Caenorhabditis elegans: one gene and its partners. The protein of the gene in region 1 purifies or fractionates together with the protein of each later gene. This does not show direct contact. Each region holds a gene or a part of one and is shown in the gene's direction. Other genes may lie near its edges. The genes, in order: taf-3, ttb-1, gtf-2E2 and ZC443.4.

The links.
Region 2: the proteins of taf-3 (region 1) and ttb-1 fractionate together in Caenorhabditis elegans (co-fractionation; one large-scale study listed by BioGRID). This does not show direct contact.
Region 3: the proteins of taf-3 (region 1) and gtf-2E2 fractionate together in Caenorhabditis elegans (co-fractionation; one large-scale study listed by BioGRID). This does not show direct contact.
Region 4: the proteins of taf-3 (region 1) and ZC443.4 fractionate together in Caenorhabditis elegans (co-fractionation; one large-scale study listed by BioGRID). This does not show direct contact.

What each region holds. Positions count from the first base shown.
Region 1 is NC_003284.9:16,329,802-16,337,446, forward strand, and holds the start of taf-3 (PHD-type domain-containing protein), read left to right. Parts: upstream 1-2,633; 5' UTR 2,634-2,648; coding exon 2,649-2,835; intron 2,836-2,890; coding exon 2,891-3,006; intron 3,007-3,695; coding exon 3,696-4,349; intron 4,350-4,990; coding exon 4,991-5,302; intron 5,303-5,476; coding exon 5,477-6,107; intron 6,108-7,645. Other genes in the region: C11G6.2 (ATP-dependent DNA helicase), read left to right, coding at 1-196.
Region 2 is NC_003283.11:153,132-160,876, forward strand, and holds the start of ttb-1 (Transcription initiation factor IIB), read left to right. Parts: upstream 1-3,693; 5' UTR 3,694-3,699; coding exon 3,700-3,806; intron 3,807-3,887; coding exon 3,888-4,155; intron 4,156-7,176; coding exon 7,177-7,511; intron 7,512-7,745.
Region 3 is NC_003280.10:11,538,469-11,545,475, reverse strand, and holds gtf-2E2 (Transcription initiation factor IIE subunit beta), read left to right. Parts: upstream 1-2,980; 5' UTR 2,981-2,985; coding exon 2,986-3,063; intron 3,064-3,112; coding exon 3,113-3,206; intron 3,207-3,253; coding exon 3,254-3,345; intron 3,346-3,395; coding exon 3,396-3,683; intron 3,684-4,332; coding exon 4,333-4,650; 3' UTR 4,651-4,703; downstream 4,704-7,007. Other genes in the region: F54D5.9 (F-box domain-containing protein), read left to right, coding at 705-852, 901-1,107, 1,156-1,332, 1,387-2,028, 2,082-2,345, 2,406-2,665; dhgd-1 (D-2-hydroxyglutarate dehydrogenase, mitochondrial), read left to right, coding at 4,846-5,038, 5,112-5,678, 5,735-6,251, 6,314-6,500; Y62F5A.9 (uncharacterized protein), read left to right, coding at 6,677-6,850, 6,906-7,007.
Region 4 is NC_003283.11:12,814,779-12,823,159, reverse strand, and holds ZC443.4 (DUF659 domain-containing protein), read left to right. Parts: upstream 1-3,273; 5' UTR 3,274-4,114; coding exon 4,115-4,456; intron 4,457-4,907; coding exon 4,908-5,018; intron 5,019-5,065; coding exon 5,066-5,782; 3' UTR 5,783-6,248; downstream 6,249-8,381. Other genes in the region: ugt-18 (UDP-glucuronosyltransferase), read right to left, coding at 406-828, 872-957, 1,238-1,374, 1,419-1,911, 1,960-2,049, 2,098-2,140, 2,437-2,619, 2,681-2,827.

The sequences.
Region 1 (7,645 bases):
CGATGAAATCACACTCCTAGCGAGCTGGCACCTGGATGCGACGGACATGGTTCTCAAAAGAACGCAGAAGAGGACGGATGCGCTCTTCGGCGGGCTATCGATCATCCTCGTGGGGGATCTTCGACAGCTGAACTTGGGAACAAGAGCGAATTTCTCATCGAAGCCTACAACCACGGAGGACAAAAATTCAAACTAAACGTTTCGGATGTCTACGCACTCGTTCACGAATTTGATCTTACTGATGGACTCTCGAATGAGCTGGAAGCTGCAATAATTGAACATAAAATGATCCAATACCCCCTAATTTCTTCCCAAGTTCGTAGTTTCTATATTGAAGGGAACCGTCTGGATGCCCCCGCAAATAAACTTTTCACAAGTAAAATGCCACGACGACTATTCCTAGGACTTGTATATACTTGACTATTCCTAGGACTAGTGATTCCTATAATGGTTCTTTTGACACCAGTCCTTTCAATTTCAAACCATACGATATATCAGATGTACATGTAGATTTTTGTCCCGCCGCGGTGAGCGGTGGTGAAGAGTCCAGCCCGGGCGAGTGAAGCGAGCCTAGGAGGACAATCTGAAAAATGGTTCATGTACACTTTGTGCACAAAACAATTACATTTTCTGTACATTTAACTTTACGCAAAAACAATTGTGTCACAATTGTTTTTTCACTAAAAAACACTGTTTTTTCATAAAATTTGCAAACTTTTCTTGATTTTCATAAGGGGGTACATCATTTTTCATTAAGAAGTCCATCATTTTTTTATGTGGGTGCATGTTTTTTCATAGGGGGCATTTCCGTGGATTTCAAAATATTTTCCTGTTCTTCTTACGCGTGTATGAATTTTTACCCACAATTTTTTTCTCATATTCCGCATATTTTTTTTCATTTCAAGTAGGAGTTTGTTACCCACATGTTTCAGGTGCGTACATTTTTTTTCTTATAGGTATAGGTATTCGTTCGATCAAGTGGTTCGGCAATGAGTTTTGAGATTTTTTTCATCACAAGGTGTCCATCTTCCCGTGTGTAACTCTTTCTATTGGCGACGAATGGCTAAATTGGAACCAATATTTGGAAGCTTTCAAATCACAGTCGGCTCTCTCGAGCATCATCCGAATCAACATTCCAAAAATTTCCCTGTTGCAGATCTAGATCTTCACACTTGATAAATTGTATGTCAACGGGACCGAAATTGACTAATCCAGAGATTGATTTTTTGAATTCTTGGTCTCCTGTAATGACTACGTGATCGGGCACTTGCCGAAGTTGCCGAACCCCGTAAATTTCGGCAGCTTTTCGGCAACCGGCAACCAGGTTTCAAAGTTTTGACGTTGGTCAAACATATATATATATTTATTTTTTTTTTGAAATTATATTGTTGAGCGTTTTGAAAAAAAGTTTGGTCGTTTTTTTTGTTTACAGTAAAATTGTAGCATTTTTCAGGCTCTCTTGTTTTTTCTGAACTAAAAAATGTTTGACACTGATATCGGCGGTTGCCGAAGTTGCTGAAAAAAGTTCGGCAATTGCCATGCTCGACAAGCAGAATTTGCTGAAGTTGCCGAACGCTGAAAGTTCCGGCAACCGGCAACTTGGTCCGAAAAGCATGGAGTTTTCTTTTGAAAAATGTTAAACATGACCATTTTTATTTTAATAATTAATTAGTCGATTATAATATTACCAACAAACCTATGTGAAGATTTGCAACCGAGCAAAACCAGCTCATTATCAGTTGAATACCATAATAACATGTTGTCCTGCTTACCTCCCTCACCATCCTTACAGGCCACCTGCAACCGTCCTCCTGTCTCTCTGCGCTCTCTCGGTTGGTGTGCACTGTCTCGTCAATTGCACGTCTGCGTCTCCCATTTTCCTGTTCATTCTTCTCAAACCCGTACCGTTTGTTTTTGTTTCGAGTGATTTTGGCGCAAATTTGGCCCGCAAATTATTGAATTTTGGTTGTTTTCTTGGCTCTCAATTTCTATACAAACTCTGCAGATCAGTCGTTTCTTGTTAATTTTCTTCAGATTTATTTAGTTTTTTCTATGTTTAATTAATTTTTTTTCCTGTATATTTTTGTGTGTCCCGTGAAATCATAATTGAACATTTTGCTTCTTTTGCATTTTTTGCTTCACAAATTTGATTAGTAGAAAAAAATAAAAATTCAACATGCTCTAGTTTTGCTTGTTTCGAAAGGTACTTCTTAAACAAACAAGCATTGGGCTATTTCCTGCCTCTTACTCACTCGCACTCTGCGTCTCTCGTGCCTCTAACAGTCTCTCACACACTCACTCTCTCTTTTGAAGGTCGTAAACACAGCAAATCGCTAGAGACAGTCACAATCGCGCTCCACTGTGACAGATGTCTTTGTTGCCGGGCAGCAGAGGCGCGTAAACTGGCTCATAGTAATTTAATTTAAAGTTGTAAAATTTAGAATTTAAAAAATAGCAAGATTGTTTTATTAAGATTTTTGTTTTTCACAGTTTTCTCAGGGCAAGTTTAATTTTTTTTGTTGTCAAATTGATTTGTCTTGCTTGGTTCATTCATTATTATTAATACATGAAAAATTGTTTTTTATTAAATTTTTTTGCCAAAACCACATGAACTATTTCTAATAATGTTTCTTTTTTCAGAATTCAAAATGGAAGAATCGCAGAGCCTATCGGCTCACGATTTTGCCGTCTACAAATTGCAGGACACCTGCAAAAGCATCCTTCGGGACTTCGGGTTCACGTCTGTCGCACAATCGGCGAACAGCAAACTGGCAGCCTTACTTAGAAGCAAGATAAACGAGTATGCACATTCGACGAGAGCATTTATGGAATTAGGTGGGGAATTTTTTCTTCTCTCAAAATATTATGCCAATTTTCAATTATTTTCCAGCGGGTCGCACAAAACCGGTCACAAATGATGTGATTGCAGCTTTCAAGCACCAAAAAGTTAGCCTTCCAGATTTGAAGGATTATGCAAAACAGGTCAAATCAGAGATGCTTCATGCGGTGAGGATATTATGATTTGTAACTGAAATTTGAAATTTGAAGAGAAATCTAAAGAAAAGAGCTTATTTTATGGTCTGCCAGACGCCGGAAGTTATTAGAAGCTAGAAAAAAATTGAAGCATTGAAAATTAAAACGAAACCAAACAAAAAGAAAAAGAAATCTGAAGCAAAAGTAGTTTTATTCAAAATCAAAAATCAGCCAGAGTGCCCCATTTCGGTTTGATCTACCTAGAGAATTTCGGGAATTTAGTCGCATACTTCTCAACTGATTTTGCATGATTGAGAGTGTGCTGACGACACTTGTTTTAAGAACAAACTCCCGCATTTTTTGTAGATCAAGCCGTAATGCGACAGCCTGACACCAAGTGTATTTTGTGATTGAGCAAAATGTACTTTTTGAGGAATCACTAGTTTTGGTGAATCCAAAAAATCTCCAATTTGCTAGGACGTCCTCTTCCAGTTCTAAAAGTTTCCAAAAGTTGAAGTGAACAATTTATTTACTATTTCAAAAATTTTTGGATGAGAAAACCACGAAAACCACAAAAAACTGAACTTAAAATATCCCGCAGTACTTAAATAAAATTAACTAAACTTAAAAATTTTTGAAAAGTTAGAATCATCTATAGAAATAAAGATCACATAGCAAACAAAAAGCCACCAGAAAAACTATCTAATTTATGCAATTTTCAGCTCCCAGTTATCCCGGTGCCTGACCAGGAAATTGCAAAGTCAGATGACAATTTCTTCCGTTCCATGTACGGCCCGAAACCATCAGAAAAAGAGCTCGAGGAGCGTCGTGAGCACATTCCTTCACACTTTCGAGCACTTCACCCAGAATGGATCGAAGAAGAAAACAAGGAGAAGCCGCCCGATGACACGGGAACACGTAAAGTCGTAAAAAGTGCTGAAGAACGTGAACAGGATGAGTTCAACAAGCTGAAAAGGATCAACACCTACCGACGCAACGAGAATCCGGAAGTTCAACAAGCTCGCGAGGAGAAAGAGCGTCGTGAGGCGGAGGAAGCCGCGTACGCCAAGAAACGGAATCACGAACGATTCAAAAAAGGAATCACGGCGCTTCCTGGCTCGACCCTTCCAAACTTTGAAGATATGAACTTTGTTGAGACCGGATTCTTTAAGGATTTCGAAGAGAACAAGAGACTGGAAGCCGAGCGTCGCTTACAGGTTCAGAATGCGAGCAAGGTTGCCCCGACGCTCCCACCGCCGGTAGTCAACAAGCCATTACCGTCATTTTCGACGGATTCTGTTTCTGCATCGTCATCTGCATCGGCTAGTATAATGGCTTCGCCAAGTTTGGGTGAGATGGCCGAAGCATTCCTAAAGGTGAGTTTTTTTCTCTAGAGAAAATGTTCTATTAGAGACTAAATTTGAAATTTTGGTGAAACTAGCTTTGTGAAAATTGCCAACAGAAAAAAGACAGAAAATATATCTATGATATTGACGATTTTTTTCTCAAAAAATGTATTATGATCTACCTCCATTCATGTGCAAATCAAGATGGGCTGCAAATTTTCTAGAAAAATCTACAAAACTGACGACTTTGGTGTAGTAATCCAACTTTAAAGGTGTGTAATTGTCGTGAAGTTTTTTTTTTGAAAATTTCGAAACATTGGTTCGCCGAAAAAATTTGCACCAACGGCTGGTGAAATTGTTTTTAGTAAATGGGAATATTCAGACAGATTTGAGATTTTTTCAAAGTTTTCAACAAAAAAAATGATTCACTATTTCTTTCACTACTATACATATACTAGAACTAGACCTAAAAAATAGATTTGCCGCGTGCTCCTGGAGCAAATTTTGATGAGTGTTAGTTCACGTATAAATTGAAATTTCAAAGTTCTGATTTTCAAACAAATTTTGACACGATAAAGTTTTCAGACAAGTTTCAAAATTTTATTTAAAAAATGTATCAAAACTGCTCACCGAAAATGTTTTATTTTTGTATTTCACCAAACTTTTTTCAGAACAAAATCTTCATGGACACTATCAACGCCTACGGAAAATCCTTCGAGCACAAGTCACCATTCAAAGATGATTCTGGACCAGCATTCCGATTGTCCGAGTTGGTGAAACCCAATAAGCCATACTTGAAACTCCCTGGCACTGGCTCAAATCCAGGATCTGCTCCATCGTCGAGACCTGGAAGCTCAATGAGCATTGGTACACCGACAAAAGTGAAGGGATTGCCAGGGCGTCCGAAGAAGCCGAAGCCGGAAGGTGTTGTTACTGTGCCAAAACCGAAGGGTCGTCCACCAAAGAAAGCCACTTTGGAGAAGGTTTGTTATTTGAATTTTTGCACAAAAATATAGTTAAGAAACACTTTAATGATGCACCTTTCAACACTCTAACACTCTTCCTAACACTCTAACACAGCACACAATTTAAGACGATTTTGCACGTTTTTGAACACTTCACAGCAACAAACAAATACTCAAACATGAAAGCTTCAGAGAAAGCGTCTCAGTGAGCAAATCATTGCACAGCAGCAGAAAAAGTTAGATGAGTTTAAAGAAGAGAAGGAAAAGCAGGAAAAAACTTCTGATAAGAAGCCCAAGAAGCAGACATTAGCTGAAGAGATTCGGGATCAGTTATTGCGGGCAAAGAGTAAAATTGTTCTACCCAACTCAGTCGTTGCACCAATTCAGACTACGCTGCCACCAGCACAACAACCAGCAACAGCGACGGGAATGGTGTCATTGACGATTGCGCCGATTCTCGTTCCCCAGACTAGCATGGAGCCGGCGACAAGTGTTCCAGTCGTCGGAGCTACAGTTGACATTGACTCTGCTCCGTTCCTGTTGGCCGAGCCAGCACTGGAGGTGGAGATCAAAACTGAAGATCAATTCCCCGAAGGACCATCGTCATCTGTTGCCGCTGATACTACGTTGGAATTTGGAGAGGATCAGGAGAAGAAGCCGAAGAAGGAGAAACGGGACAAGAGTTCGGAGGAGTACAAAGAGTACAAGCGTTTGAAAAAGGAGAAGCGTCGCAAAGAGCGAGAAGAGCGGAAATCTGCTGAGAATTGTGTGAAGATCGAAAAGGAAAAGACGTCTACACCGGTCAAGCAAGAGGATGTTCCAGGTTGGTGGTTGTTAGGAGAATTTCTTGTCTGAAACAATGACAGCGTGCGGTTTGAAGATTGTTTATTGTATTTTGATGTGCCATTTTTATGCTAGCGATATGTTAATGGGGCAATGAAAAACGGCAATGACTCTAACGAAAACACTCAAGCAAAGATATTATATTTTGAAAATTAGTTTCTCATTTTGGTACACGGATTCAAAATTACTGTAATTTCAACTTACTTAAAATTTTTAGAAAAGATTAAGATAAGATTTACGGAATTTTTTTTTCAGTTTTTTCAACCGGCTCCATCAATTTTAAAAAACATTTTGTTAATTTCTTTTGTTATTCCGTACAATTAGGAAGAAAAATGCGCAGATTTTAGAATTTTTAAAAGCTCATCTAACAAGAAGCTTGCAAGATTTTTTTAAATCTTGAACTGACAGATTGGTTTAGAAGCAATTTTTTAGACCTTGTATTTAAACATCTATTCATAAGGCTTTGTAATGTCTCTAAAAATTCAAGAATTCTAAATACATTATAGATATGTAAATTGTTAGTTGTAACTTTTCAACTGACTTTATCAACTATTAAAGGTGGAGTAGCGGCAGTGGGGATTTTGTCTAACATTTGTAAATTCACTTATGATGATCTAAAACGACTGATCATCATAATAAAACACTTCAAAAATTTTTAGATTTTTCATAATTTCCGGTAAAAGTTTTGGTAAACTGCCAAAATTTTGAAAAGATATGAGCTTTTGAGGAAATCCAATGTTGCATGTTCCGACCCCCACAATGTTTTAATACAAATAATGAGAATAAAATTACAGTATAAAAATGTAGAAACAATTTTTTTTGGTCGACTTCCAAAGTTCTGAGTGGCAAAAACTGAGTAATTGTCACTTTTTGAGAGTAAATTTTTAAAAAAATTAAAAATGTTTTTGTAGTTTTATCATGATATTCGGTCATTTTGGTACCCATAACACTTTCTCAACTGGTGCCACTTCATCTTTAAGTTGTACCACATTTTGAATTGGTAGTTGGAAAACTGGTCAAGCTGTAGTGATATATGCTAATTTATATTGACTTGAAACTAGGACTGTGCAACCGGACGTCCGGTCGTCCGAACCGGACGCACATGCGTCCGGTTTGGGGTAGCTTTCCACGGCGGCCGACAATTTCCGAGTTTTGCCACTATGAAATTGCTGATTATGTATAGTGAGTGGCGAAACTCGGAAATTGTCGGTCGCCGTGGAAACCTACCTGCTGCACAGCCCTACTTGTAACACACTTGTAACCTCTATGTTATGCCTACCGAAGAAATATAATCTCTGGGAGTAGGCACAACTGTCATATAACTTTATGAGTTTTTATGAATAGAGAAAGATTAGATGTGCGTAAGTGCAGAGTCGGATAATCCATCGCCTCACATTTTCGCTGCTCTTCCCTTCATCGCCTCTTTACTTTTTCGTCTCTTATCACGTTTCCGGTTTAGCAGTAGCTTTTAATTTTGAGCTGAAATTCGCCTTTTAAAGTATTTTTTGTTGTTGTTGT
Region 2 (7,745 bases), on another chromosome or scaffold:
AAATTAGAGCAACCTTTACGTTTCTACTCTAGGCACGTTTTTAAGAGATGCAAAATTTCCTACGATTCGTATGATCATCGCCTGATTCAAGCTGACCAGAGCTCTCTGGAACACAGACGGATTCTCCTTATATTAAAAACATTCCACAACATAATAACCGGTAAATATTACTTTCACAATTTAGCCCAGTACCTTAAAACATCTAAATCGCCCCGGTTTCCATACCAAATGACTGCAATTGGCAAGACAAATAACAATAGCTTCTTACACACACATCTTACAATTTGGAATAAAATATCAAAACTTTTTCCTGTGCCAGTGTCAGGCAATACGTTCTTCAAGCGCATTTCCTGCCTCCCTCTCAAAGAATATGCATAATGCTATAATCTCCTCTTCCTCCTCTACTTTGATCTTATTGTGATTGTAATATAATTGTACTAGTCTCCATTTGACCATGGACTAGCTCCAATCGGTCATCTTATTATTTACTTTCTTTTATTTTTAAATGTCCAATTTGAAGGTTTACACCTATATTGCAAAGTTAGTGAATAAATTATTATTATTATATATCTGAAAATGTTGTTGTCGGCTGTGGTAATTATAGACGAGATATTTTTTGGTTTGGTTCTTGAGTTCTGAAAACAAGAAGAGCTTTTGGATATCATATGCCATGTAGGCTGCGTTCTTCGAACCTGCCTATAGGTAGGTAGGCTTGAGACAGACTTAAAAACATAGAAGCATGTTGACAGGCGAGGCAGGCATGTAGGCAAGTACGTAGACACCGAGACTGTACGAAATCAACACGAAAATTTGCTCTTCTCCGAGTTGTCTCTTTTTGTGAGATCCACCGTTCCTTTTTAGTTTGCCAAGAGGCAATGCACTGACCATCTGCTCATAGGACCCCCTTCGTTTTTCATGCCGCCTCTGCCCAATTTGTGAATCGCCCTTTGGACTCTATGGGCGGAGTCGGCCCCTCACCACTAACACGCATTATGTCACTGTCATCCTCATCCCCTCCTCAACTGATCTCCGACTTCCAAAAATCCAAACACACACATCACTGTTTTTGTTGACATAAACAACTGGGAATCAGAGATTTCAAAATAGAATCTGAAACAACTTACTACAAAAATAACACCAATCAGCAAAAAAAAAAACGTGTGTGTTATCATTTAGGGGCAAAGGTGGCACTGACCTTTCGACTCTCTACTTCAATTTTTTTTGTTGGAAAATTAGAGGGCAAAAGAGAAAGTTATCAAGTCACACATTTATGTTGATTGTAAATTAAATATTTATGTGTGTCAGATGACTTTATTTGTCTGGAAATGAATGGGGAAAATTTGGAGGGAGAAGCAGAAGTTAGCATTCGAAAAAATGGGAACGGAATTCCGCGGAACTACATATTCAAATACAAGGGTTTAAGGTCTAAAATCGGAGGGAGTTATGAGTTAATCATAGATAAATTTTTATGTGCCAATCATGAAATTCTCAGAATTGGTCCTCGATCGTGGTGGGTTCATAACTTAGGCATTAGGCACAAATATGCATACCTAATTATTACTTATGTCTTTACAAGTTGAAAAGTTTTGAATGATTTATGTTATTTTAAAACTACACAAATTTTTAAACTGGCATATGGTGAGTCAGATGTTTTCTATTATACATTGACCGCTATATCTTATAAGATAAGGTTCAAATTTTATTTCGAAGCTTACGGCTGTTAGGCTTAAGCTCAGGTTTAGGCTAACGCTCAGGCTCATTTCTCGGTTTTCTCTAAAAAGTTATAAACGTTTTTCCAATGTGGAGGACTCCGTTTCAAAACTTAAAACAAGTTGCAAACTATGATATTTTTCTCTGATAGGATTAGGCTTAGTTGGCCGATTAAAGAATGCTACTTGACAGAAACGCTCATAACTTTTCAAGCAAACGAGTTATGAAAAAACTGTCAACTAGAAAAATGTTCAAAAATATTTTTTTGTTTTTGGTCAGTTGGCATTTTATTAATATCTCTGCAATGAACAAAGTTATACCACTTTCAATAGTTTTTTGTTGTATATTTTATAGTAGCTCATCAGAATAGTATTTCACCACTTGCACTTCCTACTATCTTCTAAATTTCCCGTCACTGCATTGAACTTCTGAGACACCTTTTCCCTCCGATCAACTAGACTACTATTTTCTCTGCGTCTCCAACAATGCCACACTCTCCGCGCAAAAACCGACCTTTGCCCCTTGGGGGTGGGGCTTGCCCCTTCTGTCGACCGACCAACAAACATAGAGAATGAGAAGAGAAAGAAAAAGAGACCCCCCACGTGTGCGGTCTCTATCTGATGGGTTGCACTTGAGAAGGGAAACGTGGTGTTCGTATGGGGATCCTGAGCAGACTACATACAGAATTTATTGCACATGCTACGTGGCAATTTGAGCTCACGGGGCGGCAAAAAGGGATCTATTTAACACCGACAATTTGTGATTTTGCACCAAAAATACGGTTACCGGTCTCGACACGACAAATTGTTGTTAAATGCAAAAAGGTGTGCGCCTTCAAACGGTACTGTACTTTCAAACTTTTTTTGCTGGCTTCTAATGTATTTTTTATAGTGTACTTTTTGACGAATTTATGTAGTTATAAAAAATATATTGTTGTGTTTGAGTTTTTACTAATGAATCAATTAATTTTTGTTGAAAAACTATGAAAATTTACAAAACTTCCGCAGTACTCTTTATAGGCGCAGACCATTCGGCATTTGTCGTGTCGAGACCGGGTACCGTATTTTTGGCGAAATAACGCGATTGAAATCGCAAATTTTGCGTCTGGGTAATATATTTAAATATATTTATATACAATGTTTGTATATAACTATATATAATGCAATACTGCATAATTTTTAAACTCCTAAGGCTAAAAATCCTTCTTCTCCCTTTCCTGGGGCGATGTTTTTGGGGAAGCTTCTTTAAAATTTGCCAAATGAATTAAACTTCAATATTTTCTGTAAAAAAACCGAGAACGGAAGATAATTGGCTTCAAAGTGCCCGGGCATTTTTGGGCATGCCCAAAAATCTCTGTTGCCAATTAACTATTATTTGAACACCCGCGCGCAAAGCGCTTAAAGTTTCCTAGGCCACGCGACCGTGTACTCCTCTCGGACAAACAAACAAATCGAATTTTATACATTTTTTTCTCAATTTTCGGCGATTATTCACGATTTCTCGTTTTTTACATTCTTCAGAAAGTAGTTTAAACCAAATTCTCATGTTTTATCGACGAAAATACAAACTATTCGCCTAAAAATGCCCGTTTTTACAACGCTTGCTGGCCATTTCTCTTTGAACTTTACTTCAAAATAAAACAAAGTCGCTATAAAACTTGTTTTTTCTTCATAAATCCTAAAAAAATCCCGTTTAAATTCCCTCCAATTTTCGCCCTGACACTAAACAGGGCGCGCTAACGACACTCCGTTTCTGGCTATTTAAATTGTGTTTTTTTTTCGAAATGCAAAATGATGTGCGAATTTCGTCGGAAATTTTAGTTTACAGTTCACTATAGTGTAAAAATTGGTCATTAATCGATTTAAAAGACTTTTAAAAAGAAAAAAATGACTAGGATATTGGCAAAAAATCGACTTTTATTCGAATTTCCTTCATTTTCACCGTTAAAAATCCGAATAAACTCGAAAATGTTCAAAATTTCAGCAGAAAATGTCGGCTCCAGTCCAGTGTCCGATCCATCCAGACGTGCATTTGATCGAAGATCACCGTGCCGGGGATCTGGTCTGTCCGGCGTGCGGCTTGGTCGTCGGTGATCGGTGAGCCTTAAAAATATATAATTTCCTGCAAAAAATGATCTTTAAATCATTTTTAAAGCAATTAATTTAACTATTTTTCAGTCTGGTCGACGTCGGAACCGAATGGCGTTCATTTTCCAACGAACGTAGTGGAAATGACCCATCTCGTGTCGGAGCACCGGAAAATCCGCTGCTCAGCGGCGGAGATTTGAGCACAACTATCGCCGTGGGCTTTGGCGGCTCCGACAGTGATAATAGTTTGGCGAATGCTCAAAGAAAGTCAATGAACAATACGGATCGTCAAATGACCGCCGCGATGAGCCTTATTAGGGAAATGAGCGAGAGAATTCACTTGCCAAGAAATATTCAGGTAGAATATTGGATTTTAACTGAAAAATTCGATGAAAAATGTTGGGAAATTCGTCAAAAAACAGATTTATAATCTCAAAGCAAAGGAATCACTTTAAAATTGGAATAGAAACTATAAAAATGACATTCTTCCTGGATTTTTGCTGAAAACACACATGAAATTGTAAAAAATCTCAATTTTGAACGATTTCAGCCGGAAAAAATTAGCGAATTTAGACATTTTTTGAAAGTTTTTCTTTCACTTTTGGACAAAAACAGCTGTTCAACGCTTAAAAAGTTGAATAATTGTCAATGAAACCTGAATTTTCCCGAAAAAAAAAAATTTAATATCAAAGTTTTAGTTTTTTCCGTAAAAACTCAAAGAAAGTTGTGAAAAAACTTAATTTCAACCTGAATATTTGTAAAAAAGCAACGTTTCTATGTCATTCATCGATTTTTCGAAAAAAAAAGTGGAAAATGAAGGTATCCACCTTTTTTTCCAATAATTTTCCATATGAATAACGTCTTCACAAGGAAAGTTTTGGGTAAAATCTCAAATTTGGAAGATTTTACTCTGTAAAATCAGAAAATTCTTTTAAATTATTGTTTTTTAATTGAAAATTCAAGATTTTCACCCATTTTCTTAATGATGCCGGCATTTTTCATGCAATTTTCTGATTTTTTTCACCTATTTTCAGTGACTAGCGCACGACGTGCGCTATGCCTTCGGGAGTGGGGATAGGGTTAGTTCGCTCTAACGTATCAGCAAGGTAGCTGGCGTAGGTTCTCGGCTTCGCCTCAAACCTGTGTTGGGGTTAAGTGTGTTCACCTTGAAATTAATAAAATATTCTAAGGATTTGTTTCTTTTTTACATTTTAAGAATTATTTTGCGGCTCCGGCGCTGAGTTTTCAGTTTCTCTAAGATTGAAGAAACATTCTAATGTAAGGAGTTGTTTCACATTGAAATATTCTTAAAAATTATTTAGCGCCAGCGGCGCTGAGTTGAATTTTCTCTAAGATTAGAAAAATATTCTAAGCAGTTGTTTCAAATTCAAAAATTCTTAAGAGTTATCAGCGCCTTCGGCGCTGGATTTTCAAAGTTTTTTGAAAGAAAGAAACATACTAAAAAGTTGTTTCTAATTTAACACTTTGAAGTCTTATTTAGCGCCTTCGGCGCTGATTTGAACTTTTACTAAGATTGATGAAATATGCTGAAAAGATTTTTCACTTTTAAAAAGAAAATGTAAAAACATAAAAGATATTTCGAAAACTTAGGTGAGGATATGAAATGGTAGTTTTTTTTCAAAACTTTTTCATTTTTAAAGCTGGACAACATTTCCCCTAAAATTTTTTTGAATCTTACATTTTTCGAATTCAGTGTCAAATTCTGAGTCTATTCAAAAAAACAGAATTAAAATTAATCTTAAACAAACCAATTAACAAACGCTCAAAGTTGAAAAATCAAAAATCAAAAAAGGCATTAACTTTCTTCTGGGTCGATTATCTCTGTGATGTATGACTCGATTTTCAAAATTTTTTTGTCACTCGCTTAAGAAATCTTCAAGGTTTTATATATTTTGCTCAGAATCAGAATAGCTCAAACGACTGCAAAGTTCTGAGAGGGGGAAAAAAGTTTTTGGACAAAAAACTACCGTTTACTACCTACAGTACCCCTACAGTACACCTACCGTTTACCACCTACAGTACACCTACCGTTTACCACCTACAGTACACCTACAGTACACCTATTTTTACCACCTACAGTACCCCTACAGTACCTTAGCATCAACTCCTAACCGAATACCTCTTCAAAAAAAAAATTAAAAAAAAAATAACACTCGGTGGGGGTCGAACCAATGCAACGCTGCTAACATTATTTTTTCCTATTATGTTTAAAATGTTTTGCAAAATTCGCAAATTTTGAACTTTTTCATATGTTTCCAGGTAGATATTTGATAAACTGTTTTAAAAAACGAAATCTACGTACAAATTCACATATTGATGTCAAAAACCTAACAAAAATGTTGAGGTTAAACATGTTTTCCATACACTTTTCAAAATGTAGAGATATTTCAGCTGTAAATTTCAAATTACTATAACTTTGCTCACAGTCAATCAAATTGCAGAAACTAAAATTTTTTAACAATCCCAGACATACACCAATTGTTTCAAATAAATTTTGTACCATCACCTTCAACACTGTGCAAAAAAAGCGACATGACACGCGAAAAACGCCTTTTTTTGGTGTTTTACTTAACTTTTCTCTTAAAAGACATGAACCAATTACATAACCATTTAGATAATAAGATAGAAAAAATATTTTTACATATTCTGAAAAAAAGAAAATCAAAAAATATCCAGTAACAGCAAAGTTAGAGACAAAAGTGTGTGCTCAGTTTTCGGACGGTGGTTTTGCGACACGCAAAACGGGAAATCACGCAAGTTCCGAATTTAATATAGGAAGAAGGCAGAAAATTCAGAATTTTATAGCCCAAATTCAGTATTAAATGTTGGAAAAAACCAATTTTTTTCAATTTAAAAAAAAAAATCTACATTTTTAATTATGTCCTGTTTGATTGTTTCAATTAAAACAAATTAATTAAAAATGCGAATTTCTAGTTGAAAATGCATGATTTCCATTTTTTGGAATTGATTTTTATTTGAAAATTCAAAATTTCCACCTATTTTCCTAACAATTCCGGCATTTTTCATGCAATTTTCTGATTTTTTTTCACCTATTTTCAGTGAAAATTCAGAGAAATAGCCTAATTTGAGTATGAAATTTTGAAAAATTTGTTTTTTTTTTCAATTTTCAAATTCCAAAAAAAAACAACATTTTATGCCCTTTTTGATAAAAAATTCAGTCAAAAAAAATTCAGTAAAAATGCGCATTTCTAGTTGAAAATTCGAATTTTCCATCCATTTTTCATGCGATTTTCTTTTTTTTTCACCGATTTTCATTGAAAATGCTGAGAAAATTAGGAAAAATTCAAGATATTAACAAGCTTATTCAAAAATTTACAAAAAAAAAACCAATTTCCAGGACAGCGCCTCCCGTATATTCAAAGATGTGCTCGAAAGTAAAGCTCTCCGCGGAAAAAACAACGAGGCACAGGCGGCCGCGTGCCTATACATTGCGTGCCGAAAAGACGGCGTTCCCCGTACTTTCAAGGAAATTTGTGCGGTTTCTCGAGTCTCGAAAAAGGAAATTGGACGATGTTTCAAGATTATCGTACGGAGTTTGGAGACGAATCTCGAGCAAATTACATCTGCAGATTTTATGTCTCGGTTCTGTGGAAATCTATCGCTACCCAACTCGATTCAGGCGGCAGCCACGAGAATTGCAAAATGCGCGGTGGATATGGATTTGGTCGCTGGGTACTTTTTAAGAAATTACGAAAAAAAAAAACAAAATTTTCGATTTTTTTGCTTCAAATGACAAAAAAAGGATGTAATGATCGAATAAAACTATAAAAAATTTAATTAAAATTTTCTACATTTTTAATGATCATTAATGAGTTTCTTAAAGGTAGACTACGCTCAGTGGGGAAATTGCTTTAAAACATGTCTATGGTACCACAATGACCAAATATCATAGTAAAAAAATTTTAA
Region 3 (7,007 bases), on another chromosome or scaffold:
GATCTTCCGTCGGCCGGTGGAGCGCACATGCATCACTCGTTTTTTTTATTGAAAATACATTGGTTTCGCAAGATAAAAATGAGGAATGAATAAAAGCATGAGCACGATACAAAGAAAAGAATGAGCAAGAGATAAGAAATTGTGCTTTTTGGTATTTATTTTCTGAAAAAAGAATATTCTGGAAGGCGAAGTTTCGTCACGAAAAAATATGTTTGTTGGAAAGAATGATTTACGTACACTAGGAAGAAAAGTTATGCTTAAAATTCACTTGCTTATTTAAAAATTGATTATTTAAAACCTGAATTGTTAAAATTTAAATTATTCGAAGAGAAAATAAAGAGAAAAAATTGTTTCCATGAAATTAGTTTTGTTCTCGTGTATAAACAGCAATCAGATATTATTTTTAGAAAAGATTTTTAGAAAAAACTTTAATAAAACTGTATTGAATTAAACAATTTTAAAAATCAAGCCTCTATCCATAATCCAGAAGGCCTCCTGAACTCTGCGCTCGAAAACCCCTAGGCGCGCCGAAAAAAAATAAATAATGCGAAGAGTACTGTATCAAAGGGACATCAACGGCGCACAGTATGGTCCTGCCACGGAGACATATTTCTGTTTTCCTAAACAAGTTTGTGCGAACCTCCATGCTTTTTCACCGGTCCCAAAGTATTTTCCTCTGATTTTAAAGTATTTTTCGTATAAAAATGTTTCGGCGAACCGAGCCACCGTTCCGATTGTTGGCTAGAAAGCGAAGAAATTCCGATTCGACGCCCCCAATCACGAAGTTCTTTGCAACAGTAAAACGGGAACGTTCAAGCTCTGAATCGAAAAACGTATGCCAGAAGTTGGACGGTACGACAATTTTTCTTTTAATTTAAAATTAATTTTCTTGATTTTCAGAAAGTTTCGAAGCTCCCAACAACTTATCTCAAACCTCTCATACCGATTCACCAGACAATGGGCTTTTGTACTCCTTGGAGGATTTGCGAGCACTTTTAGGTGTTCCTGTCAAATTTTCCTCGAAATGTGTGCCATCTCCAGATGCACCAGTGGGCTTGGAAAACCTGCCGAATAGAGCCTATTCGCATATTTTCACAATTCTTGACAGTTAGTTGTGAAGTACTGATCAGAAATTTTAACATTCACATTTTTCAGTGCAATCCATTAATGCGCTTTCACTGACATCCACAAAGTTGTGCTCACGAGTCAAAACCTACGTTTCAACCCACGATTTTTTCCGTCGAATGCAATTGGATAATCTTGACTTTCTCAATAGCTCACTCCGCCCCGACGATGAAGAATTCTTAGAGAATGATCCTTTCACTGCATGTGGTTAGTGTTGCAATATTTTTATTTTCGTTTATAAATCTAAATGTATTTTAACAGGTGGCCTCATCAAATCCATCACGATCACAATGAACACAAAGATCCGCGCTCAAGTCTTCCTGAACATCTGCCGGAATTTGCGTGATCAACTCGGAGGCTCCCTTCATGGTTTTGGAAGACTCCTGGAAACGATAACGCACAATTGGAAGTTCTCTGAACGTCGTATAATGGTAAAAGCTGCAATCATGATCGACGCTGATCTCCGTCCTTCGATTATCAAGGTTCTTACTGCTAAACCGGGCCAGTTGATAGGTCTCGAGATGAAAGTTCGTTCCGGGTTGACCCAACTCTTCCTCAACTTGAGTCAAGACATCGATGAAGCTTCTCCACAGGAGATTATCGAGTTTGGCTCCTGGTTGTCTGTTCTGATCCGAAACGTAATTGAAAAATATCAGGGAAAGTTCTATTACATCCTATTCGGACCAACAAGATCTTCAAGAATTGGCGAACGCGTCGACTGGGCGTATTTCTGTGAGGACGATTCAGATACCTTCACTTTGCGGAAGAGTGAGCCAAACTATAGGAAATTGCTGTCAACGTTGCTCAATGGAATCCGCGCTCTTCGCATCATGAATAATTCCAAGAGTTCGGACCAAATGTGGAGCGGGAAGAAACTTTATCAGCTTTTCCTCCGGATCATTGGTAATATTTTTTTTTTTAATATTTTTAATTTTTAATAGCTTTTTAATTTTCAGAAGTTTGCGAAGTACAAGGCTTTTGGTCTGAGACCTCATCTTCTATGGCGCTGGCCATTGATTCTTCAGGATTGCTCAGCGAATATCTTGTCACCTGTCTCGATCCTCGCCGCGACGACTATGAAACTCTCCAGAATGAAGCCGCGGAGATGGTGTGTCTCGTACGCAACCATCTTTATCGTTGGTCGGCTGCACCTGCCACGTTTCTCGCCGAACCACTGCACCACGCATTCAATCATCTTGCGCAACTCGATGGTCATTACGGTGAGCGGCGTTCTGTCATCTTTTCGGTGCGAGAAATAACGAATATTATTATTATTACAGACGGTTGCTACAAAGCTTTTCTCGAAAAGATTTGGAACGTTCAAAGTTCACGGTTGAAGGAAATGGTAAAGAACGCGACAAACACAACCGAGTGTTCTGAAAAGATCCGCGAAGAGCTCGACGGTCAGCTCTCAATGGCTCGCCTGTTGACGGATATATCAAACACAGTGGTTCTTCACCAAATAGGCTTCCAGCTTCCAAATGACCTAGCTGCTGAACTCGTCAATGATCCACTAGAAGAAGAGGAGCAGCTGGAATAAATCATGTTTTATCTGTCTAGAAAATTTTGAAAATAGCTTCCAACTGTAGAATTAGTTTTGTTTTTGTTTTCTTTTACTTTTACTTTCACTTTAATTTTAATTTTAATTGTTCAAATTTAAAGCTCCTTTCACTCCTTGTTCCATCTTTCTCATTCTGATAAAATCAGCGAAAACTAATTCACTTTATTGTTTACTACAGGGTTCAGCCCCCTGCCACCATTATTTGCCGGCCACTGGCCTTGAAAAACCTCTTCCATCATCGATTTTCACTCTTAAGAGAGTACTCTTCATTGTTTCGAAAGGTTTTCGTTTAAGCAAAAATGGATCCGGAATTGTTAAGGCAGCGAACTGCTTTCCAGAAGCATGCTGCAACAACGATGGCTGTTCAGAATAAGCCTGTGAGAACTTTAAAAATTAAAAAAATATTGAATTTATCGATTTTTTAAGACAACAGCACCAAATTCACACACAACATACTCTTCAGAAGCAGCAAAAGCGAAAAAGAAGAAAAGCTCTGGACCGGCTCAAAATTTGTCGAAACGTTAGTTGTTAAAATGTAATATTAGTTTCTGAAAACGGAATTTTCAGTCCCAGATTTCAATAATTCCGTGAGCAACGCCAATGCGTTATCAAATGCCACAAATTTCAGTACAATGGCGAAAATTGTGGATTATATGAAGGTATTTATATTTTAAAGCGAAATTTTCGAGTTAAAAACAGTTAATTGCAGAAACGCCACCTAAACAATCAACAATGGCCGTTGACACTTCAAGAAATTCTCGATGAACTTCAAATTTTTGATCTTTCAAAAAGAAGTCTTGCTTTCCTTCAAGAAGCATTACCAAACAATCCTCGACTGATAATGGAATCCGAAAAATTCGCATTTCGACCACCTTACAAAATTAAAGGAAAAACTTCGTTGGTAGCTGTCGCGAGGAAACATTATCAGGACGGAAAAGGTGGAATTCTTGTGTCGGATTTGGCTGAGTGTGTGGCTAATTATGATGCACTACTGCAGGTGGGAATTTGAATAATTTATAACAAAAATAAAGTTTTTATTTTTCAAAAATTTCAGCTAAAAATTAGTAAAATTGATTTTAAAATTATCAGCGGCTTATTTTTCGTAGTAATTAAAATTTGAGTTTGTGATGAATTAGATCTTTTAGAATTTCTGAGTATTCAACAATGTGTTTTTTTTTGATTTTCAAATTGAAATAAATTGAAAATTAAATATATAAATTCACAAAAAAGATAAAATGTGTTGAAAATTTATAAAATAAAATTCAGAAATTACTTTATTTTCAGACTTTTGAACAAATTAACGTTATTTTTCAATTTTTACACGAATAATTTTGATCATTTTCGATCCCATAAGTTAAATATTCCACAAAAAAACATTGAAATCGATAAAAAAAAGGTTTGAAAAAATATATTTAATAAAGTAAAAAAAAATTATTACACTTTTCCAGCATAAAACCTTTTTCCTTAAAAAATTTTCAAAGGAAAAACATTTTTGAAGGCAGAATATTCTCATTATAACTTTTCAAAAACTAGGGTATTTAGGGTTAATTTTGATTAAAAATCAGAATTTTTAAATTTGTCAAACTGAAAAAATCAAAGTATAAAAAAGGAGCAATTTTGTGAAATATTAAATTAAATTTTTCCAGCAAGTATCCTCTGAAGTGATCGTTGTTCCGACACAAGTCAATAAGAAAAAGGATCGAGTCGTCTTCTACAATGACAAAGAATTCACATTCCCAGAGCTCGAAGACGATTTCAAAGCCTTGTGGAGACACGTGTCTGTGGATCATTTGGATGAGAAGAAAATCGAAGAATATCTCCAGAAGAAGGGTCTCGACGCGATGAAGGATCTGACGCCGAAGGTTCGAATGCAGGCTCCACTGAAAAGAAAAGCCGCGAAGAGACGGTTCAATCAAAAAGTACAAAACGAGCATATGGACGGAGTTTTGGAGGATTACGAATGATTTTAATTACACACTTCTGTTAACAGTACATAAAATGAACTATGATCATTTGTATCTCTTCTGTCTCTTTTTCTTATCACTGCCCAGCCGTTTGTTTTCTTATTGTTTTCGGCAAATCGGTCACCTAGCCGAGCTTTGTCTCCTACTATTTCTTTTGAAGTTTCAAGTTATTTTTTGAAAAGTTTCTGAATTCAGATGTTTCTGAAAATCTTGCCACGAATCAGAAGACCAACTAGAAGCTACGCAGCAGTTCTTGCCGCCAGACATGAAGGATTTGCAAAAGTGATGCAGTCGGATTTAATGGCATTTGAGAATTTTCTCGGGCAAGATGCAGTGAAGAAGGACGATATTACAAATCATACTACAGATTGGACAGGCCAATTTAAAGGTATTTGTATTTTAAGATTAGGTTTATTTAATATTAAATAGGTACTTTAAATATTAAATGTTTTAATTTCCAGGTCCTGGCAGTGTCGTCCTCTACCCGAAGAGCACCGAAGAGGTTTCTGCAATATTGGCGTATTGCTCCAAGAACAAATTGGCAGTAGTCCCACAAGGAGGGAATACAGGACTCGTTGGTGGATCAATTCCAGTACATGATGAAGTTGTTATATCAATGAATAAAATCAACAAGCAATTCTCTTTCGACGACACAATGGGAATTCTCAAGTGTGATTCTGGTTTTATTCTGGAAGACTTGGACAACAAACTTGCAAAACTCGGATATATGATGCCTTTTGATCTCGGAGCCAAAGGATCCTGTCAGATTGGAGGAAATATTGCCACGTGTGCAGGAGGGATTCGGTTGATTCGATACGGAAGTCTTCACGCACATCTTCTCGGGCTCACGGTGGTTCTTCCCGATGAACATGGAACTGTTCTACATTTGGGATCAAGCATTCGGAAGGACAACACAACTTTGCACACTCCACACCTATTCTTGGGAAGTGAAGGGCAGTTGGGTGTTATCACAAGCGTCACAATGACTGCGGTTCCTAAACCGAAAAGTGTACAAAGTGCGATGCTTGGTAGGTTGAATATTTATATAATGGGTTCAAATTTTTCAATTTCTAATTTTTTTCAGGCATCGAATCCTTCAAAAAATGCTGCGAAGTACTGAAGCTTGCAAAATCCAGCCTCACTGAAATCCTTTCCTCCTTCGAACTTCTCGACGATGCTACGATGGAATGTTTGAAAACGAATCTAGGATTGCACCCAGTACTGAATGCTCCAACCCCATTCTCGATCCTTGTCGAAACATCAGGATCCAATGAAGATCACGATATGGAGAAAATGAGCGCATTTTTGGATGAATGCCTCTCAAAAAATCTGATTATCGACGGAGTGCTCGCTGGATCTTCTGCAGAAGCTACGAAGATGTGGCAATTGAGAGAAAGTGCACCATTGGCGGTTACCAGAGATGGATATGTCTATAAGCATGATGTTTCTTTACCATTGGAAAATTATTATGAATTGACGAATGTGATGAAGGAACGATGTGGTTCTTTGGCTAAAAGAATTGTCACTTATGGACATTTGGGAGATGGAAACACTCATTTAAATATTACATCTGAAAAACACAATGAAGAACTTGAAAAATTGTAAGTTTCGAGATTTTTCTTTTTTATAAAATTTTAATTCTATTAATAATTTCAAATTCCAGGCTCTATCCCTTCCTCTACGAATGGGTTGTCGATCACGGCGGGTCAATTTCAGCTGAACATGGAATCGGTCAACTGAAGCTACCGTACTCCACATTCGGAAAAGATCCTGAAGAACGACTTTTGACAAAGAAGCTCAAGAACATTTTCGACCCAAATGGGATTCTCAATCCGTACAAAACGATATAATTCTAATTCTAATTATTAATAACGCGTGTAACAATACGTTTAGTAGCACAACTGTATAAACATTTGACCCATATATCGTCGGTTCTATTCTCTTTAATTATTTGAGCACCTGTTGAAGGGGAAAATGAATCCTCCAACCCCCAAAGAGCCGGGTCAATTCATCATTCTCCACTAAAATGACGATCCTAATTGTCGCTCTTTTTGCTTCCATTGTAGTATTATGCCACGGAGGTACTGTAGAAACTTCACATCCAGCTTCGGATAAAATTATTGGAAAATATATAGAATTATCAATGAATCTTACGATTCTTCTCGCAGATACTGCTATAGATGAGGCTAAAATTCATCAGGTTTGTGATTTTTTTTTTGAGAGAATTTTTTTAAACCAATGTTCAATTATTCTAGTTATCCAAAGATATGGTGTCAAATGATTACGACGAGGATAAAGTGCAACGAGTTTTGGACAAATTCATGGAAAGTCTTCCGGCAGATCAGAAAAAAGATTTT
Region 4 (8,381 bases), on another chromosome or scaffold:
GTCCCATTTTGTAAACCAACTGATGGATGTAATGGAATAGCTGATTCAATGGAAATTGAAATGAAATCAACATTTTGGATAGAAAATTATGATAATAGTGAGTCATTTGTGATTTAATCAAAGTCTCAAAGCAATGTGTCAAGAAACTTTCTCAAAAATTAATTTACTAAATAAACTATTGTCAGTACTCTAAGACTTCATGGAAATAGATGTTATGGAAGACAATAACAACAACATGGAAATTGATGACCCCGTTGATGACGATACTTTAATGGATTTCTTGACAACACATTGAACTTTCAATTGTTCTTTTATTATTTTTATTGCTGACATATTATAAGATTTGTTTATTTATTTTTGATTCCAAATAGTAAATTACAATTTTTAATTAGATTATCCATTTATTTATTCCATCTTGGTTTTCTGCGATAAAAAAATTCGGGCAACAAGTTTGAATATAAATAAAAGAGTAAAATATATAAAAACTAACACCAAAAGTGCTAACATCACAATAGAACTTGCTATGTCAAATGAATAAAATTGGAAAGTGTTTAGATATCTTCCTCTAGAATTTAAAGAATTTAGAGCCCCATGTTCAACTGCAAATTCGCAGTGCTTTAAAACAAGATCCTTTGGAGAAACTGGTTGATCTCTCAAGATTCTAGCAAGTCTCTGAGCATTTTCAGAATATTTTCTCTCAGTCAGTACAGTTTTAAAAGCTTTTAATAATTGTTCGGAGTCCCCAAGCATGGTTTTGTGATACTGAAGACATCCTCCGTGCCTTTTGAGCATATGAGCATTTCTTGGCTGATCAGCCATAAGGGGAATCTGAAAAATAGAGTGGTGTTTAATCTGGCAAGAGTGTACTCACTATCAGTGCCGGTTTCCCCTGATAAGCTAACTCCATTGTACTGCCCAACCCACCATGGGTGACGAATAGTGTCAAACGATCATCAGCTGTAAATTTCTAGTTCCTGATTGATGACTTCGATCGAAAGTAAACACAAGTGTGTGTTTCAAAAATTATTCCAAAAACTCTTCTGTTAATTCTTAAGAACAAAGGTAGTAAAGTTAGCGTCCTAGGTTAACCTATTCAAATATTAGAAATACTCATTTTTGGAGGTTCCACTTTTTTACAAAAAATCACACTACACAATTTTTGTGACGTCAAAATTTTAAAACTACGCATTTTTATGTATCTTAAAAAATAAATTTGTAAAATACGTTTAATAATTACCTAACAAATCGTTTTGTGGCATCCACGTGGTAAGTTTCACATTTGGCAGATGACTAGTCAAAGTTGCATTGGCTTCTTCATATTTCCAGATGAAAGTAATCTCAGGCATATTTCCGAACACATATAAAAATGATTTTCTGAAAGAGTTGAATTTTTGATATTGATGTTTGCATTTTCTTACTTGAACTCCTCAGGCATTTCCGATGAAAATGCATTTGATCCGAATGAAATCAAAACATTCTGCTTGCGTATATTAAGTATATTATTCCATTCATCACTTAATTTTGTTTTAGCCTCGTTTGTGTTAACCTGCATTCCGCCAACAAAAACAGTTTTAGGCAAAGCTGGAGACGGATAATCAATGTATTGATTTGAATTTATCAAATTAAATGCTACTCCTGTGAAAAGATCTTCCCAAGTTTCAGTTCCATTATAATATGGCTTAATCATCTCCAGCTCTTTTTCATATCTTGATCCATACAGATATTTCGTAAAAAGCATTGTGATCATGTTTTTGACACGTGCTACAAACGACATTTTGTCATCATGTGGAGAGAAAAGTCCAGGGTAGTAACTGATCGCAGCTGGCTCTCCATGAGCATACTTTACAGCGTCCTTAAATAAATTCGACTCTGCATTTATGACATTCTTGATTCCAATGTGGTCGAATAAAGCTGAAAAAGTGTATTAAATTGAAATATATACATACGACAAAAACTGACCAAATGGGCATGCAAAAAGGGATTCCGTTATTGCAAGATCGAAATGCTCATTTCTCAGACGATCGATAATATCTTTTTGTTGGAAAATATCTGTAAGCGAGAAAATAGACTAAGAATTCATTCAGAAAAGGTACTCACATTCACACTGGTAGCCTATAGCCAGGTTCATTGAGCCGACAATCTGGAATTTCGAAATGTTTTCAGATTATTTTTTCACATTAACTGGCATTATTTTCTCATTTGAGAGAAACTTTTCAAATTCAAACACGTTTAGGTTCAACAATTCGCTACCACATCGCAATCAACTTTTAAGAACTGCCACCCACTTTTCAGACTTTACAAAAAAAAATTCTGTTTGACCAACTTTAACCACTAAAGTTTTTCGCTTTTAAGTCTTCTAAAAAAACGAAAAACGGCAACCTCGGTGCGTACTAAGGCCTTGCTTCAAATACTTCATCGAAAGCAAAAAATACTAACCGTTACCAGAGACATCATTTCAGGATCCATTCTCCATACTCTTGCCCTTCCCATATGCTCAATCCCTTCTTCTTCGAAAAGTTTTCCAGCTCTCTCGTCTCTTCCTATTCTCACTACATCTTTCACTTTTTTTGAGCCAACAAAATCTTTCTTAGTTATCAGATACTCTGGGATCAGCATAGTCTGAAAATTTTCTAAAGTGTTTTTAAAGTTAATTAATGTATAACTTTTATATAAATCTTACCACATTGTGTCCTGCATCAATGAGAATATCAGATATTTTTCCAAGAAAATTAGAATGACTTGCACCATAAGCAGGATTGAAAACCAAAACTTTATACGTTAATGTAGAATGTATTAATACAAAGAATAAAATAAGAGCGAATTTCATGATCGGAGTAATCTTAACTTGAATGATTGGTTTGTAAGATAAGAAATGGAAATGTTGACTATTTGGTCGAAATTATGTGCATTTGGCAACAATTTATGACAAATTTCTATTGTGATAGACCTGCTCGTGATAGTGATAATTCAGCGTCCGGGAAAACCTCCGGCCTCTTGTTCCGCATATGCTTTCTCCTCATTTCCCACAGATTTTTACTGATGATGGGAAAGGTTTCAAATTTAAAATGAATGTCAGAAGACGAACTTTGGTTCGATTTCGAATAGTTAACAGTTAGCATATCTAACAGAATTATTAGATATGTTCACATGTAAGTTTGCGAAATATTTCAAAATATTTCAAGGTCTTCTTGAGCGGAGTGAGACTGTAGGTGTGTATCAAACTGGCCTATCTTAAAAATAGACATCTGGGAAACAAACTAACAAAAATATCACTTTTCTGCTGTACCAGTCATAAATTAACATCCATTTAACTTTAGAAGGAACAATTTGTTGTATATGTAGTAACTGAAAAGTATTTTGTCACATTTTATTATTTCATGTTTTTCATGTTTAGCCAAGTTGCAGATCGTTTTCCAAAAAAAAAAGAGTCAAAGAGTATTCCGCCTTGTAACGATTTTGTTGAAAAATGAAATTTTTCCCACCCTAACGAAATAATTTTCAAACGTTTCTTTAAAATTTTAACGAATTTCGTTTAAAGTTCGAGTCACTTCTCTTCACATGTTCCCAAACACTGCCATTTTTCAAAAAACGTTTTCCACACACGTTTGCCTTCAAAAAAAAAGAGGCCAGCCATCCATTTCTGTTTTTTTTCTTGCCAACCAGTCATCTAGTCCCGTGATTCTCTCACACCGACTAGTAGTCCGTCAAGTCCTTCATTGTGCAGCACACACACGGCGCCACGAAACGACGTCTTCTTCTGCTCTGTCAGTCTCGTCTCTGCCTGGGACATCTGACCAATAAATATTCAGAGAAACGACGGCGTAGAGGCCGCTTCGCATAGCCGCTCGCCAGTCGGCTCTTGCTTCGTCCTCCTCTTCTCCCTATATTTTGCCAGTTGTTTGTCGTCGAACACCCCTCCTCGGCCGCTCAAACACACACACGTCGCCATCGCTCGCGTCGCGGTCTCTCGGTAGTCTCGTGTGTTCTTTATTTCTCACATCGACCCTCCTGCCCATAATTAGGAAGGTCGTTGTTTCCGACATCTGTCGCCTTTGCAAACTTCTTGATTCTATTTTCCTTATCTTTTGCCCCAATTCTCACTTAATTCCCTAAAATGCCAGTGGTGAACACTGCAAACTTTGTGGACCGACTACGTGACATCACCAAGAGGATCGATATCCGTCCGAGTCTTCAGAATGTCTCAAAGCGCTGGCACAACGTTTACGATGCTCTAGCAGTCGGCTCTCCTCAACAAGTTCAGGAATTCTACAAGTATATCAAAGTATACAAACAATGTCCCGCCAACGATCTACTCTTCATGAATATGACAGTACAACTGGCTCGTGCTGCAATGTTTCCAACTAATAGCATGTTTAAGCAAATGCTCAAATTTGAGAAGCATATGGATGGACTCATTTTAGCGGAAGGAATCCATGGAGTTTATGGATCTCGCGGGGTGAGTGAATTAACTTTGATTGAATATATTATGAACCCACTGCAAATTGAGTTCTAGTGCTGAACGGGAAGTTTATGTAGATTTGCTAAATTTAATTATGGTAGTTGAAATCGGAAATGGTTGAATATTAACACGAAGAAATCAGTCGCGTATGAAGAAATGGGATGCAAGACTGATTGAAAAAATACGGTAGCGATATATTTTGAAACCCGATTTTGCTAACAGGATTCCTCTGTATTATTCAAAAATTCTATCAAAAACAATAAAAGGTCCCTTATCTAAAAGGTCCCTAAGCACAAAAATGTTAGTCTTCAAATTTTTTTCTTATCGGAAATTGTTTGAAATACATTATTATGAAATTTGTTGACTACACTCGGAACTAGAGCACGAAAATATAATATAATTGCCGTGCTAGATAGAGTTCCGCTCTGAAAGTTTCACTGGTTTTCAGATTGAAATTCTCTGTGGTCACAATGATCATTTGCTCCGAAGATACAGAAGATTTAAGCGACATTCTGAAATCAAGCGAGCTGATAAAGAGATAAAAATTGCTAGAAAAACGGTAAATTTTAACATGTTAACTTGAACTTGATTAATTTAATATTTCAGGCAAAACAAATGGCAGCTTTGAGAGAAGTTCGAGCAAAGTCAAGATCACAGAAGAATGTGCCAGCCTATTCATTTGATGATCCAGCTCTGATTCCTGGAGAAGGCCCAATTCCTGAGAGAGCTACAAAAGTATACTACAATGCTGTGAAAAGTGTTCAAGCTCCAACTCCTGAGCAGGCTCCGGTGGCACAAGATGTTGTGGTCAATGAACTTTCAGAGGTTAAAAAATACTGCGAAATTCTGAAGGCTCAAATGGAAGAAGCTGAAAAGAGACGAGAGGAAGATGACGTGGCTAACAAGCTCAATGAAGTCGTCGAGAAGCTCATCTCAACAGCTAAGGATTCTGGAAAGAGTCAAAAAGAGGATGAAGAGGAAGAAGACGATGATGACGATGATGATGAGGAGGAGGAGGAAAATGTTGAAGATGATGAGAATTTGGAAGATGATGAAGATGATAGAACAGAAGATCAAAGCTCAATTAGATGCAGACAGTCGGAGTCTGAAAATATTAATTTCCCAGATTTCCAATCTTGTAATATCACTGAAGATCAGAAACAAGCAATTATGAGAATCCTTCTGGGAAAATCTGAAGAAGAAAAAGTAGAAGCCATGGAAGTTACTCAAGAGCAAAAAATCGAAGAGTCGTCGGACGATGAAGAGGAAATTGAGAAGATTGACGACAAAGACGTTGATGCTATGGAGTACGAGATGTTGTAACTTTTTTCTTAATTTTTGTTCCATAACAATACTTTTCTCACCTATACATATATGTTTCACAGTTTTTTCCTTCACAATCTCTAAATTTAGGGACTATTCCTCTTCACTCTGTACAATTTGTAAAAATTTGTTGTTTTTCTAAAACCATGTAAAATAACTTTACAATAACTTTTCCACCAACACCACCTGTCCTATTCCATTTCTGGTCATCATCTGATTTGAGTACGCGTGCGCAGTCTACGAAAAACACACATTCAGGTCATCCATCCATCCATCTGCTGTCCATCTGTAAGTTCGCTTGTACTTGACATTTTTCTCTCCAACGTCATAATTTCCCCCATATTTTATGTATTTTCGCACTTTGTATCGCTTTTTAATTAACTTTTCCCCTGCACTTTTTTCAGATTGCAACCGAAAATAACAGAACAAAAACAATTGTGAATAAATTTGTGAATTTTGTCACCATAATCCTCTTGTTTTCCACTTATCTTTACAGGAACATTGTGATGAAAAACTCGTGACATATATCTAAAATGTTGGACGGAAGTCAATGTGACCTGATCGTTTTGGGTTGGCAAAAATTATATTGTGATCTCATAAATCGTTTCTTGTTGGACTAAAGTTCGAGGTGTTTTAATTTTAGATTTCATAGTTCAGGGATAAATTTTTGAATCAGCTTCAGTTTATTGAAAAAATAATTTAATTTCAGGTAACAAGTCTTATACAAACTATTATGAAATTTAATTTTTGTACACGCACAGAAAATTCACATGTAAACACAAGTAGTTGAAAAAATTATATACATAACATGAAAATAAACTAATGAAAAAATCTTTTTTGCCAAATCTGAAAAACATTTTTGCCGTAAATTTTTTTAGCACCAGATTGTTCGCTTTTCTGTTTATGGGAAAACGTAGCATCACACGTACAACAAAAATTGAAAAGAACGTCTGTTTGATGAAATTTCTGAAAATCCACCGGATTTTTATTGTTGGGATTCTGGTAATTTTTAAATTTATAACTGAAAAAATACATAAATTTTTCTAGTGATGATCAGCTAAAATACAATTTTAAACTTTTTGTCTCCTCAAAATGAAATGCGAAGCTCCCATAAACTACCAGGACATGACCATCAAAATGACAAAAGGGTGTGCTACGTCACATCTCAGCTGAAAAAAATCCCCAAATTGCAGTCATCTGACATTGACTCGGGAAAAATTGAATTGTCGAAATACGTAGACCCCTAAAAGATTGTAGATTTGTGATTTTTGATTTCAATTCAAAATTTTATCAAGACAGAATTGAATTGCGGTAAATGTAACTAATACTTCTCACCTTACCTGTCAATTGTGTAATGAATCATGTGCAATAAATTCGAATGTACTTTTCAGTCAGCCGTGTTAACTGAATCATTGAACAAAATGGACTTTTATGAACTTTACGTTACATTTTTCCTGACATGTGGTAGACACTGAAAGGGATTGATGACCAAACAGTCAAATATTGTTGCTCCAAAACAATGGTAAACTTATGCAAATATATAGCGAATAATGTCAACAAGTGTTATTGTCAGCTGAGTATCGGTGGACAAACATCAACATTTTGTTTTTTCCTCCAGTTACTCACTCCAATTTTTCTGCTAAAATTCCAGACTCCCAATTGTGAAAATATGAGTAAATACCACCTGTATACCGAGACCATCCGCGTGATATGACTTTTTGTACCTTTTAGACTGGAGAACAGAGATGGAGATAAACAAAAGACGTCAAAATCAGAACGGAGTGATAACTTTTGTAGGAAAACAAACATGAAATAGTGTTGACTGTCGGCACTCCCATCATTTATTACTTTTTGTTGTTGTGTGCAACATTTCGACATTTTTAGTATTTTTCATATGATATGCTTATCGGCAAAATCAGAAGTTTAATTCATTAAAAGTTACCACAAGTTTAATTAAGGTGAATAATTTTTTTGGTTAATGTAAACATGTTCAAAATGTGATTAATTTTTCGGAACCATTTTTTTCAGTGCATTTTGTCACTAATTTTGGGTTCCTTGAAATTTTTTCCAACGACTGTTTTCAGTCCACTTTGTAATGATTTCTTTCTAATGTTTAAAGGTAGATAAAATTTCAGAAATTTTTAAAGAGTTTTTTTGTATAAATTCTGATAACTTTTGCATTCATCTCGATCAAAATAAAAATAAATCATCCGAAGTGTGCAAAAAACAGCTTTTAAATCAATTTAACGAGTTCAGAAATTAGTGACAGAATGTACAGGAAAAATTTTACTTCTAAATTCGTTTTTCCCTTAAATTTTTTTGATAACCTAATCTAGACAAAGGATTTCAAAGTAATGTTTTCTTGCTTTGAAGTCAAAGAGTAAACAGTTAAAAAGTTTAATTTTGCTTTTAGGTGTGAAAAACGTAGTTCAAACTTGTTTTGGCGGCAAGTCTTGTTTTCTGACTCCATGCTCAGTCAGATTGTACACTTTTTCGCGCATCTGACTAATAAATATTCTTAGATGGATGGCTTCAGTGCCCATGCCTCTTCGTGTTTACCCCCGCCCGGAACACCAACCGTCTCATTGCCTGGACCCTC